Linked DNA regions of Lonchura striata. The protein of the gene in region 2 interacts with the protein of the main gene of each other region in a pairwise test. Links are inferred from orthologs where the notes say so. Each region holds a gene or a part of one and is shown on either strand. Other genes may lie near its edges.

The links.
Region 1: the proteins of EEA1 (region 2) and RAB5B interact in binary tests that used the Homo sapiens proteins (3 or more experiments, as listed by UniProt). The link is inferred for Lonchura striata from reciprocal best matches to the Homo sapiens genes EEA1 and RAB5B.

The regions. Positions count from the first base shown.
Region 1 is NC_134629.1:9,330,550-9,337,939, reverse strand, and holds the start of RAB5B (ras-related protein Rab-5B), read right to left. Parts: upstream 3,013-7,390; 5' UTR 2,959-3,012; intron 2,091-2,958; 5' UTR 2,061-2,090; coding exon 1,898-2,060; intron 994-1,897; coding exon 842-993; intron 1-841. Other genes in the region: CDK2 (cyclin-dependent kinase 2), read right to left, coding at 4,563-4,667, 5,855-6,058, 7,307-7,390. UniProt on the Homo sapiens protein: The small GTPases Rab are key regulators of intracellular membrane trafficking, from the formation of transport vesicles to their fusion with membranes.
Region 2 is NC_134607.1:53,447,655-53,454,650, forward strand, and holds the start of EEA1 (early endosome antigen 1), read right to left. Parts: upstream 3,023-6,996; 5' UTR 2,915-3,022; coding exon 2,891-2,914; intron 1-2,890. UniProt on the Homo sapiens protein: Binds phospholipid vesicles containing phosphatidylinositol 3-phosphate and participates in endosomal trafficking.

The sequences.
Region 1 (7,390 bases), on a different chromosome or scaffold from region 2:
CTCAAATCACCCCAAAACTCGCTCAAATCACCCCAAAACCCCCTCAAATCATCCCAAAAGCCCCTCAAATCCCCCCCAAATCCCCCTCAAATCCCTTTGGGACCCCCCCAAATCCCCCTCAGGACCCCCCAAATCCCCCCAGACCTGCTTGGTGATGTCGTAGACCACGATGGCAGCCTGGGCCCCCCGGTAGTACAACCTGAGACCCCCCAAACTCCCTCAAATCACCCCAAAACCCCCTCAAATCACCCCAAAAGCCCCTCAAATCCCCCCCAAATCCCCCCCAAATCCCCTCAGGACCCCCCAAAGCCCCCCAGACCTGGTCGGTGATGTCGTAGACCACGATGGCAGCCTGGGCCCCCCGGTAATACAACCTGAGAGCCCCCAAACTCCCTCAAATCACCCCAAAACTCGCTCAAATCACCCCAAAACCCCCTCAAATCACCCCAAAAGCCCCTCAAATGCCCCCCAAATCCCCCCTGAGAGCCCCAAAGCCCCCAGACCTGGTTGGTGATGTCGTAGACCACGATGGCAGCCTGGGCCCCCCGGTAGTACAACCTGAGACCCCCCAAACTCCCTCAAATCACCCCAAAAGCCCCTCAAATCACCCCAAAAGCCCCTCAAATGCCCCCCAAATCCCCCCTGAGACCCCCAAAGCCCCCAGACCTGGTTGGTGATGTCGTAGACCACGATGGCAGCCTGGGCCCCCCGGTAATACAACCTGAGAGCCCCCCAAACTCCCTCAAATCACCCCAAAACCCCCTCAAATCACCCCAAAACCCCCTCAAATCCCTTTGGGACCCCCCCAAATCCCCCTCAGGACCCCCCAAAGCCCCCAGACCTGGTTGGTGATGTCGTAGACCACGATGGCAGCCTGGGCCCCCCGGTAGTACATGGGGGCCAGGCTGTGGTAGCGCTCCTGCCCCGCCGTGTCCCAGATCTCAAACTTGACCGTGGTGTCGTCCAGGCACACGGACTGCGTCAGGAACGCCGCTGGGGACAGGGACAGGGCCACCAAAGTGTCACCAGAGTGTCACCAGAGTGTCACCAACCCAGCCACAGAGCCAACACTGTGTCACCAACCCGGCCAGGGACACCTCACTGCACCCCAAACCCGGCCAGGCACACGGACTGCGTCAGGAACGCCGCTGGGGACAGGGACAGGGCCACCAAAGTGTCACCAAAGTGTCACCAGTGTCACCAACCCAGCCAGGGACACCTCAGGGTGTCCCAAACCTTTCCAAAGAGCCCTTCCTACACCCCAAATTCCTGTGGGATCCCCAGATCCCCGTGGGATCCCCAGATCCCGGCTCACCGCCGATGGTGCTCTCCTGGTACTCGTGGAACTGGCCCCTGACAAAGCTCTGAACCCCAAATCCCACCTGGGATCACCCCAAATCCCACCCTGACCATCCCCAAATCCCCATGGGACCCCCAGATCCCCATGGAATCACCCCAAATCCCAGCCAGGACAGCTCCAGACCCCTTTAGGACACCCCAAATCCCAGCCAGGACAGCCCCAGACCCCTTTAGGACACCCCAAATCCCAGCCAGGACAGCCCCAGACCCCTTTAGGACACCCCAAATCCCAGCCAGGACAGCCCCAGACCCCTTTAGGACACCCCAAATCCCAGCCAGGACAGCTCCAGACCCCTTTAGGACACCCCAAATCCCCGTGGGCTCCCCAGATCCCGGCTCACCGCCAATGGTGCTCTCCTGGTACTCGTGGAACTGGCCCCTGACAAAGCTCTGAACCCCAAATCCCACCTGGGATCACCCCAAATCCCAGCCAGGACAGCCCCAGACCCCTTTAGGACACCCCAAATCCCACCCAGGACAGCTCCAGACTCCTTTAGGACACCCCAAATCCCCGTGGGATCCCCAGATCCCGGCTCACCGCCAATGGTGCTCTCCTGGTACTCGTGGAACTGGCCCTTGACGAAGCGCAGCACCAGGCTGGACTTGCCCACAGCCGACTCTCCCAGCAGCACCAGTTTGAACTGGCAGATCTTACTGGGCTGCGAGTGCCCGTTGGGCCGCTGGGCACCGCGGGCGGCCATGGCCGGGCTGGGCACAATGGCACCGCGGTCCTGGGGACACAGAGAGGGTGGCACGGGGTCACAGCGCCGGGATGGGGTCACTGGGATGGGGTCACCCAACTGGGACAACCCAGCTGGGATGCGGTCAGCAAACTGGGAACACTGGGATGGGCTGGGTGCAATGGCACCGCAATCCTGGGGACACAGAGAGGGTGGCACGGGGTCACAGCACCGGGATAGGGGTCCTTGGGATGGGGTCACCCAAATGGGATAACCCAGCTGGGATGGGGTCACCCCACTGGGATAGGGTCCCTGGAATGGGGTCCCTGGGATGGGGTCACAGCACCGGGATGGGGTCACCCAAATGGGATAACCCAACTGGGATGGGGTCACCCCATTGGGATGGGATCCCTGGGATGGGGTCACAGCACCGGGATGGGATGGGGTCACCCCACTGGGATGGGGTCCCTGGGATGGGGTCACCCAACTGGGATAACCCAATTGGGATGGGGTCAGCACACTGCAATGGGGTCACTGGGATGGGGTCACCCCACTGGGATAATTCAACTGGGATAGGATCAGAACACTGGGATAACCCCACTGGGACGGGATCATAGGGGCTGGGAACCCCCTCAGGGCATGAAGCCCCCTCAAGCCCGGAGCCCCCCAAGCCCGGAGCCCCCTCAGGGCTGGGACCACCTCAGGGGCTGGAGCCCCACCAGAGCCCGGAGCCCCCCCAAGCCCGGAGCCCCCTCAGGGCCCCCCAAGCCCGGAGCCCCCTCAGGACCGGATCCCTCTCATGGCCGCGACCCCCCCCCAAATCCGCACCCGTGGCTCCCGCCCCGCCCTCAGCGCGGCTCGCCCCGGGGCTCGGAGCCGCTCGGAGCCCCCCGAGGCCGGCCCCGGCGCCCCCCGGTACCTCCGGGCCCTGCCGGCGCACAAACAGCGGCTCCGCCAAGCCCCTCACGGAGAGGGGCGGGACTAACAGCGGAATGAACCAATAGGAGAAGAGCCCGCCTTTGCGCTCCGCCAATGGGAAAAGAGGTGGGGGACACCCCGCTGTGCTGCACCAATAGGATGGAGGGGAGGGGTGATGGACAGCACAGCGGCCAATAAGGAGAGGAGAGAGCTTGGCCAGTGGGGAAGGGGAAAGGCGGTGAGGAGGTGGGGTTTGCGGTGAGTGACAAGGCTGGCAACCAATAAAAATAAAAAACGCGAGAAAAGGCGGGGCGGACAACAAATAAGGTGACCGGAGGGGGCGGAGCCGCGCGGCTGCATCACCCAATGAGAAGGCGGGGAGAGAGGAAGCCTCGCCCAATCAGAGGTGCTAACTTTGATTGACAGTGTGGAGAGCTCATGCGAAGGGGGCGTGGCTTGGAAGGACCAATCAAGAGGCTCAGACTGTGTTGTGGGCGTGGTCGCGAGTGGGCGTGGTTTGTAGACCAGGGGGCGTGGCCTGGGAAAGCCAGGGGGAGACATTTGGGGACATTTTTTGGGGGTTTCGGGACATTTTTGGGGTTTTGGGGACACTTGAGGAGTTTGTGGGCATTTGAGGGGTTCGGGGACATTTTTTAGGGGTTTCAGGGAGATTTTTGGGGTGTGGGAAGATTTTTGGGGTTTCCAGGACACTTTCGGAGGAATTTGGGGACATTTGGGGACATTTTTGGGGTTTTGGGGACACTTGGGGACATTTTGGGGGTCTCAGGACGGAGGGGGGGGGGGGAGGTGACGATGCCACCCTGACCTTCCCGGGATTAAAAACCGCAGAAATTTTATTACAAATTTTTTCCATAAAATCACAAAAAAACCAAAATTCGGCCCCAAAAACTGTGGCAGGGGGGAAGAGGGGACAAAGGGGACATGGAGGGGATGGCACTGGGGACAATTTGGGGACAATTTGGGGGATTTGGGGGAATTTGGGGGAATTCTGGGGACATTTGGGACGTTTTAGAGACCTTTTGGGGACATTCGGGGTATTTTGGGCACTTTTGGGGACATTTTGGGTAAATTTGGGGTCATTTTTGGGCTGTTTTGGGGCCCTTGGAATTTGGGGAATTTTGGGGTCGTTTTGGGGGATTTTGGATGGTTTTGGGGTCATTTTGTTAGTTTGGGACCATTCTGCATGGTTTTGGGGATATTTTAGGGGGTTTAGGGTCATTTTGGTAGTTTGGGACCTTTTTTGAGGAATTTGGGGCCGTTTTGTCTCATTTTGGGGATATTTTGGAGGTTTTGGGGCCACTTTCTCTGGTTTTGGGGATATTTTGGGGGTTTTGGGGCTGTTTTGTGGTTTGGGGATATTTTGGGGGATTTAGGGTCATTTTTGGGGGGTTTGGGGCCATTTTGGGATGGTTTTGAGGATATTTTGGAGTTTTTGGGGCTGTTTGGGACGGTTTTGGGGTCGTTTTTGGAGGATTTGGGGCCGTTTTTCTTGGTTTTGGGGTAATTTTGGGGGTTTGGGGATATTTTGGGGGGGTTGGGGTAATTTTGGGGGGTTTTGGGGATATTTTGGGGTCATTTTTGGGGTCAGAGGCGCAGGTGGGGGACAGCTCTGGTGACGTCCCTGAAGAAGGGGTGGCCCAGGGCGGCCTTGGCCGAAATTCTCTTGTTGGGGTCGTAATGCAGCATTTGCTGGGGAGAAAAACGGGGAAAATGGGAAAAAACGGGGAAAAAATGGGGGAAATGGGGAAAAAAGGGAGGGGGAAGGGGAAAAAAGGGGAAAAATCAGGGGAAAATTGGGGAAAAAATGGGGAAAAAAGGGGAAAAATCAGGGGAAAATTGGGGAAAAAATGGGGAAAAAAGGGGAAAAATCGGGAAAATTGGGGGGAAATGGGAAAAATGGGGGAAATGGGGGAAAAGGGAAAAAAAGCAGAGAGAAATTGGGGGGAAATGCAGGAAAAAATGGGGGAAATTGGGAAAATGGGCACGAAATGGGGAAAAAAGGGAAATGGGGGAAAATGGGGGGAAAAATGGGGGGGAAATGGGGAAAAATGGGGGGAAATTAGGAAAATGGGGGGAAATGGGAGGGAAATCAGGGGAAAATGGCAAAAAAAAAGAGGGAAAAGGGAAAATAATCAAGGAAAAATTGGGGGAAATGGAAAAAATTAGGGAAAATTTGGGGAAAAATTGGGAGGAAATTGGAAAAATGGGAAAGATCAGGGAAAAAATCAGGATAAATTAGGGAAAATCAAGGAAAAATTGGGGGAAATCAGGAAAAATTGGGGAAAATCAAGGAAAAATTGGGGAAAATCAGGAAAACTTGGGGGAAAATCGGGAAATGGGGAACAAGTGGGGAAAAATCAGGAAAAAGTGGGGAAAATCAAGGAAAAACGGGAAAACTAAGGAAAACTTGGGAAAATCAGGAAAACTTGGGGAAAAATCAGGAAATTGGGAACAAGTTGGGAAAAATCAGGAAAAAGTGGGGAAAATCAAGGAAGAACTGGGGAAAATCAAGGAAAAATTGGGGGAAATCAAGGAAAAATTGGGGAAAATAAGGAAAACTTGGGGAAAAATCGGGAAATTGGGAACAAGTGGGGAAAAATCAGGAAAAAGTGGGGAAAATCAAGGAAAAATTGGGGAAAATCAAGGAAAAATTGGGGGAAATCAGGAAAAATTGGGGAAAATCAGGAAAACTTGGGGAAAAATCGGGAAATTGGGAACAAGTGGGGGAAAATTAAGGAAAAACTGGGGAAAACTAAGGAAAACTTGTGGGAAAATCAGGAAAAATCACAGAAAAATCAGGGAAAATCACAGAAAAATCAGGGAAAATGAAGGAAAAGCTGTGGAAAAGCCAGGGGAAATTGGGAATTGTGCCTCACCGCCAGGAGCTTGCGGCCCTCGTCGTCCAGGGGTGGCAAAACCTTGGCCAGGTCCTGGCGCGCCCAGCGGGGGAAGGTGGCTTTGTAGTCGGGCAGCGCCGACACCCCCGGCCAGGCGGCCTCGTCCGGCGTGCCCAGCGTGCGGAAAATGCGGAACAGCTGGTCGATCTCGGAGTCGCCCGGGAACAGGGCGCGGCGCGTGATCTGGGGGGTGACAGGGACGTTGGGGACATCAACGGGATGTTGGGGACATCAACGGGATGTTGGGGACATCAATGGGATGTTGGGGACATCAACGGGACGTTGGGGACATCAACGGGACATTGGGGACATCAACGGGACGTTGGGGACATCAATGGGACATTGGGGACATCAACGGGACGTTGGGGACATCAACGGGACACTGGGGACATCAATGGGACGTTGGGGACATCAACGGGACACTGGGGACATCAACGGGACATTGGGGAAATCACTGGGATGTTGGGGACATCAACGGGACATTGGGGACATCAACGGGATGTTGGGGACATCAACGGGACACTGGGGACATCAACGGGACATTGGGGACACCAATGGGACACTGGGGACATCCCTGGGATATCAATGGGACACTGGAGATATGGGATCAGGACAATGGGAACAGCTGGTCGATCTCGGAGTCGCCCGGGAACAGGGCACGGCGCGTGATCTGGGGACATTGGGGACATCAATGGGATGTTGGGGACATTGGGGACATCAATGGGACACTGGGACATTGGACACAATGGGAACAGCCGGTCGATCTCGGAGTTGCCCGGGAACAGGGCACGGCGCGTGATCTGGGGACATTGGGGACATCAGTGGGACATTGGGGACATCAATGGGATGTTGGGGACATCAATGGGATGTTGGGGACATCAATGGGACATTGGGGACATTGGGGACATCAATGGGATGTTGGGGACATTGGGGACATCAATGGGACACTGGGACATTGGACACAATGGGAACAGCTGGTCGATCTCAGAGTCACCAGGGAACAGGGCATGGCAGGTGATCTGGGGACATTGGGGACATTTGGGGACATCAACAGGACACTGGGGACATCAATGGGACATTGGGGACATTGGGGACATCAATGGGACATTGGGGACACAATGGGAAACAGCTGGTCGATCTCGGAGTCCCCCGGGAACAGGGCACGGCGCGTGATCTGGGGACATTGGGGACATTTGGGGACATCACAGGGATGTTGGGGACATCAGTGGGACATCACAGGGAGGCTTTGGGGACATCAGTGTCACCCCCGGTGTCACCTAAGGGGGTTTGGGGACCCACGTGTCACCCTGAGGACCCCAATGTCCCCCTCGGTGTCCCCAAGTGCCACCCACCATCTCGGCGAAGATGCAGCCAGGCTGTGTGACACCCCAGTGTCCCCAAATGTCCCCAATGTCCCCAAGTGCCACCCACCATCTCGGCGAAGATGCAGCCCAGGCTCCAGATGTCCACGGCCGTGCTGTAATATTTGCAGCCCAGCAGGATCTCGGGGGCACG
Region 2 (6,996 bases):
AGATGAGTCACCCACTAAAAAATCATGAGCAATGAGAAGAAGGCTCAGAAGGAGGTCACAGTAATCAGTTTTCTACCAGCTGAAAATAAATTCCCCCTCCTTGAAAATACAAGAAATGAGCTCTGCTTTAACAGGCTATAGGCAACTTCCACTGTCTCAGAGTAGATTAACAATGGAGAGATGACACAATGTCCACAGACAGCATCAAAGTTGAACAAAATAAAGAAAAGACCACTCTCCAAGGAATCCACTGACAAAAATCAAACTATTTGAGCAGGAAAGGTAAGTCTCAGACACTCCATGCAGATGCCTTTTGGGAAAAACTACCTTTTTCTAGATCAGCATAATGAACAATGCATGAAACCAGGACGTGGCAACAATGTACAAAAGGGAGTTTTATGGTGCAAACATACAAAACAGGCGGATCCCTGAGATGTCATGTTGAAAACACACATAAAATTTAGAAACTTGTAAAAAACTTCAGAACTTGTAGAGAAAGGACGTAAAATGAGAAGCTAGGTGATGACAGCATGGAGATACTAACCTCAAAAACTAAACAAGCAATGTTTCCATTATAATACTTTCCACTTTGAAAATATGTCATTCAAAGTCACAGTGAAGATGCTTTTAAAAACAGAAATTTGAACTGTGGATGAAATAGAGGTGATCAAGGTAGAGAAGTAGAATAAAAAAGAAATATTTGATGATTTGAAACTTCAGGAATCAGAAACTATAAATAATATCTTTAGCTGTTGTCTTCCTCCTTTGCAGCTTGTCAGCCAGCCTAATAAAGTAATAAAAAATGTAATAAAGAATGTAAATAATGTAACAAAGAATGCCTTTTTCAAAAAACATGCTTTTATAACTCAAGTTATATCACCATTAATGCCTAGCTCTCTGGCTAGAAAGGGTGGCATCACCTATAAACATATAACAAACCAAACAGATATGCAAGAAGCTATGTTTGAGGGACAGAAAGGCAGTGGTTTTTTGCCAGCTATACAAATGATGGACAATAAAAAGGTCAAGAGGAAGTTCCTTATTCTTCAAATACTGTATGAGAAACATGAAAGATATTAATGACTATGTTCTTTAGTAAAATATCTGACATAAACCTAAGGTTCATTTTTAATACCAAAGTACAGCAGAAGTATTTTTCACAGTCTGCCAACCAGAGTGCAAGTCAAAATGGTACATGTGTACGAGGTTGTGCATGCAATCACTATTTTTACAAAAATACCTAAAACCCCTTTTAGTATCAGGTGAATTTTTAAAAGTCTATTTTTGGCAAAAGTTATTTTCAGCAATTAAAAAGTTTACACCTTCAAAAATTTTGACATTTCTCTATTTAATTTTTAGGCAGGAAGAAGTCTGTTTCACCTTTCTTGACAATAAATTCTCCTGTAATCTCGTAATTTTCAGGAGCAACTGGAGAACAACTATTAGTTCAATCTTTTGGAAAATATGTCTTTTTCTCACACAGAAACTTTTGCATTGACTGTAGATGTGATGTCTGTAAGATGTGTTTAGCTGAATTCATACTTAGGGACAAATATCCTCTGGCACTATATGAAGCTTTTTCCTCTCACAGAAGCCTTCCTTCATGGCCTGGTGTTTCTCAGAATCAATAAACACCCAGTTAACTGCTGCCAATATTTAATTAGGTCCGTACTAAGTTTCCTGCTTGTTAGCAGGGCTTCCCATTAAGCTTCAGGAAGGAAGCTCTTCCTTGTAAACACAAAGCTCCAAATATACCAAGATCTTCACCTGCTTAGGGTCTATAACAAAAGATAATCTGACGTATGTTTTACACTGAAAAAGTTGGTGTTAGGCTTACTTTATTTCCCCTCTCATTCTTGTAGCAACGCTTCTCTGCATGGCAGGTAAGGAGAGTAAGCCAGCGTTTCCAATAAAACACTCTGTCGCAGAGGTGTTACACAGACAGCACGCTTTGGAAGCAACAGCGGATCAAACGGGGAGAGCAGCTGGTTTTCCCTCAATCCGTGAACGCCTCCAGCGTGACACGGACGCCGCTCTCCTGCGGTACGGGATCTGGAGCGCTGCCTGCCCACGGCCGGCGTGACTCAACCCTTCTGGGTGCATCCCCCAGCCGAGCCCCCGGCCGCACGGAGCCGGGACCCGCCGGCACCTGCCCCGTGCCAGCGCCTCCCGGCAGCTCCCACCCGAGCCGCAGGCCCGCCGCACGGCGACCAGCACCGGCAAAGGGATCCGGGCAAGCGAGAAGGGTCTCATAAACGAGTGTCACAACTTGGCTTCCCAAGCCCGGCAGAGCTGCCGGAAAAGCCGGTTCCTAAAACACGGGAGGCGGCCGGACGGCGGCTGCCGGGCTGGCTCTCGGCGTTAAGAGCCTGCTGCCTGCCAGCCCCTGAGGACATCACCGCAGGTCCCGGCGGCGGCTCTCCCCACGCCGGCCTTCCCTTTATCCTGCCCTCTGCGCGGGCGGCCGCAGCCGCGGCAGCGGGAGCAGGCGGCGGGCGGAGATGCCGCCGCGTTACGGAAAAAGCCACGCCGGCCAGGGCCGCCCCTCGCCCCTCCGACAGGCCCGGCCGCGGGAGCCGCCCGCCAGCACCTCCGCCCAGCCCGGGAGGCGACACCGCCCCCAGCCGGGATGGCGGGCCTGGCCCGTCCCGTCCCGTCGGGGCTCGGGCCGTCTCCCAGCGAGAGGGCGGGGGCGGACAAACTCACGGCCTCCGGGGCCGCGACGGCCCTCACCGGACCCTGCGCCGCAGGACGGGCCGGACAGGGCCGGTGGCTCCGGCTCTGCCGCGGGGAGCGCAGCTCCGAGCGCGGCCGGCACCAGGAAGCGACACCGGCACGGCGCCGGCACGGCTCGCCGCCCTCGCCGCTGGGGCGGGCCTCGCTGCCTTACCCGCTGCAGAATCCGCCTGAGCATGGTGGTAGAGCGCGGATGCCGTCGGGCGGCCGCGGCCAGGCCGAAGGGAAGCCGCGGGGCCCCGCAGGAGCCCGGCGCGGCCCTCGCCCCGTGACAGCCGCCGCGGCCGGGGAGGCAGGGCAGCCGCCGCGCTCCGCCCCGGGGAGGGGCGGGTCCCGCGGGAAGGGGCTGCGGCCACCGCCGCCGCCCGGCCGCCGGCAGCGGGGAAGGCAGGGCGGGTAGAGGTGCGGAGCGGGCCGGGGGCTGCGCCCTGATCGCTCCGCGGGGGCCCGGGCCCGGCTCCTCGCCGCAGCGGGCCCAGCGCCGCGGCTCTCGGCCTGTCCCTGCGCTGTGCCGGGTCTCCGCCGCCCCAGACGCGTCCCGGCTGCCGGGGGCAGGGCGGGGAAAGCGGAACGCGGCGCTGTCTGTGCCCTTGGCTCCCCTCGGGGCTGCCCGGGCTCCCGATAGCTGCGGGCCCCGTGCTGCTGGCGTCAGTGTGGCATCGGCCGAGGGAAGGGAGAGGACTGTGGTTTGAGCTTGCAGCTGCGGGCTCGCTGAAGGAGGCAAAGCGCAAATGCAGCGCCGTGTTACTCTGTTACTCGTGCGGCACGGAAAGTACTGAGAAATGTGCGTTCGGGGAGGGTTGTCGAAGCGAACTTGTTACGATTATTAACCTCAAATTTAATTCTGATGAAGCAGCTCCTTGCTTCAAGCCCCCAGCTGAAAAGACGACCTTGTGGTATGACCCATTAGGTGTTTTTTAAATATTAGAAAAGAACATTTTACTCACACAAATACACACATACCTAAAAAAAAAAAAAAAAAAAGTACAACACAAAAAGCATCAGCTGAAAGGAGTGATAAGGAAGTATTTACAAACAAACTGTGGGCCTGATAGTAGATAAGGCCAGGTACAGAGATGTGAAAGAAGCAAGGAGGGGAACCATAAATTCCGTAGGAATTCCACTAATTGACACAGACTTACCCACTCAAGACTGCTAAATCTCTGGATTTAGAGAAAAAAATCAAAGACACAATGAAAAAGAAAAATGGGAGGGGAAATATACATTAGAAGGGGGTCTTACATATTTCTCATCTTATGGAGCCTGTACCTCTCAAGTACCTCGGCCACTGGGGAAAGAGAGAGGGAAAATGCAGCCAGGAAATTAGGATAAAATGGAGCTGCGTCTCCCAAAAAGTTTGAGAGACCCCATGGGGAATGCCCCATAACGTCTCCCTTTATTCAAAAAAGTTAAAGGACTCCTCTGTCTCCTTTTTGGACATAAACCTCTGGTGTTTGTAGATTAATTTTCCTGTCAATTTTAACTGAGAAAGAATCAGTATCTACTGCTGAGGCAAAACCCCACATCAGACGTTGCAGGATAGTTACTGGAATACCTGTACCATCTAGAATATGTAATTCAACAAGTTACTGTTCCCTGTTCTGTCCAAAAGCTGCAATTTTCACATGCTGGATACCAGACAAAGGGTCATGAGTAAATAATAAACTTGGTCAATGACTAATTGTGCTGACTAGAACAAATATCACAGCAGAGCACCAGTTGTAGTGTAAAGATCAAAAACATTTTTCCACCCAGAAGCTGACATTTCTAAGTACTCTAAAATCCTCACACATTATGTGTGTTGAGAGCACATGACCAGAAGAATTTGGTGCTGCAGCTGGAGGCTTCAAGCATAGCAGCATTATGTGACTGGATGCAGTTTGGTCCATCTACAGGTTCCAGTGTGTTTCATCTTAATGTCATTGGATCCACAACTGAGGCCCATTAAGAGCACACACACTTGGTAATGGCTTCAGTTGATAAGCGATGATTTTGGTCATACCCATGACATAATTTTCATCTGTCCATAGTACAAAATGGCTTTGAAATTTGGCAGGTAGGGTCTTTTGGAATTTTGCACTTCAGATTTATAATGGGAATAAGATTGGTTTTGTACAGATCTTTAAATATTTAGGCAGACCATAGATACTTACTCTGAATCCAAACAGAAATGACTGCAAGTTTTATAGATATTTCAAGAAGAGTGACAGCCTACACAACTAACTGCCAGACTGCTTAATTTGCTAGACCCAAATAACTTGACCAACCCCTTTGTAGAATGTTTTTTACTCTCCTAGGTTAGCAATTCCTGAATGCTCAGAGGAAGATGATAGCAATTTGAGGACACTAGTTAACAGTCTTATATCAGAGGAGGCTTTTCTTAGCAAGACTTGAAGGGAAATACATGATCCTTTCCTTGTGTGGATGCTAGAATACATGCATCTGTCTCCCTGTTCAAGCATGATTCCCTCAGTAACTTGTTAATCTGTGGGCCAATTAATACAACAGAGTCAGATAAGGCTCAAAGATACTAATGTTCTACAAATTTAAATAGGTAGCCAGGGAGAAGATAAACCCTATGGAGTCCTGGCTGTAAGGAAAGACTGCAGTGTGGCTGCTTTTATGTACCAGAGAATGCACATAAAAAATCTCTGCCTTGGGGCAGAGATCTAGAGGAAAAAAAAAAATTAAATCTGTCCCACTTCTAGTGGAAGTCCTTGGTTTTAATTATTGTGTGTATGGTAATATCTGTGAATTCATATCATGTGCTCTCCTAAAATTCAATAGAATTTCCAGCTGTTGGTAAATAGGCTGTATCCTCAGGCATAGGAGTTGTAAATTTTCATTTCATCCAAGTTCATAAACTCTGTTAAGGGTTTGGTGACAAGAGGGCTAGAAGGTGCCTTTCTAAAGAGTCAATTGTTAGTAGAAAGTCTCAGAACAGAATCACAGCAAAGGTTTTTCCAAAACCAGCTGGGAACAGGTATCTTATCCTTTAAACACAAGCTGAAGGTTGAGAGTCTGAACTACAACAAACTCTTGCATATCTGTCAAAGCCAGCATTTTTTTTATTTTTGTACAGAACTGAAATCAGTCTTTTGTACAAGCAGTTTTCAGGATGGCCCAGTGTACACCAGCACTTCTCAGATCTTTCAATAGATAACTGCAGGGTTTTGTTGAGATTCTGGGGAGTTGTTCTTCATTTTTAATGGCTATATATATATATATATATATATATAGAGAGAGAGAGAGAGAGAGAGAGAAAGAGAGAGAGAGAGAGTCAAATGAAATGCTGTCTCGACCATGGATCACAAAAACTGGTGTTCACACAATCTTCTACCCCAACTGAGGGCTACGAGGAACCACTGCCATTTGGTAGAAAATGGCAAGGAACACATGTGGTATATGCATAGTACATATGCTTGCAGATACTTAACAGCCTACAAGTTTCTGGGCTATTTATTGTCCTACATGTTTTCAGTGTTCATACAGATGACTATTTTCAGTCATGTAAAATTGCTGACCTCAAAATCACATGGCCACGAGCTCCTTTGGTTCACGATGTGCTGCACTGTCCCATTTTTCTCAACATGTTATTTCTAAATATCCTATTTATAAAAGGTATCAGTCTCTGGTTTTTCTTTTTCCTAGCTCTTCAGCTGTACACTTTCGACTGTCACTGTGTGCTGTTCCATATACTTCCAGTAAGTAGCTTTCAAATTTACCCACATCTTTTTCTGGAGCCTTCTCCTTTCAAGCCGAGCTCTATGAAACTCGGTTGAACACAGTTGTTTAAATGATACGGTTTAGTTTACATGGCAATATTTGGTCAAAGGTTGGACTTAATGAATTTGCAGGTCTTTACAAACCTCAATGACTCTATGAAAGGTGTATGACAAAATTTGGAAGATTTATGAAGTGCAGATTTGGGCAAAAATATGTTTTCAGCTGAAGGCAGGGCTATTTAGCATAGAGTAGTTTTAGACTATGCTTGAACTAATCACCAATGGTTCCTGACGCATTCCCTTCCCACTACAGGGAAAAGTAACAGCTCTCCAATTCTTCACTCATAGTACTGAAGGGGTTGGCCAGAGCACCAGTACTTCCATCTGCATGTATTAGAGAGAGTGTGTTTGCTCAGCTGCTTTAGAACCTGGCTGACTCTGTGGTGAGGTCTCTAACAAAGAGCTGGTGACTCAAGGCTGGTTCCTGTGTGACAGAGAGCCTCTTTCAAGTCAGCGCAATTGCTTGCATGAGTAA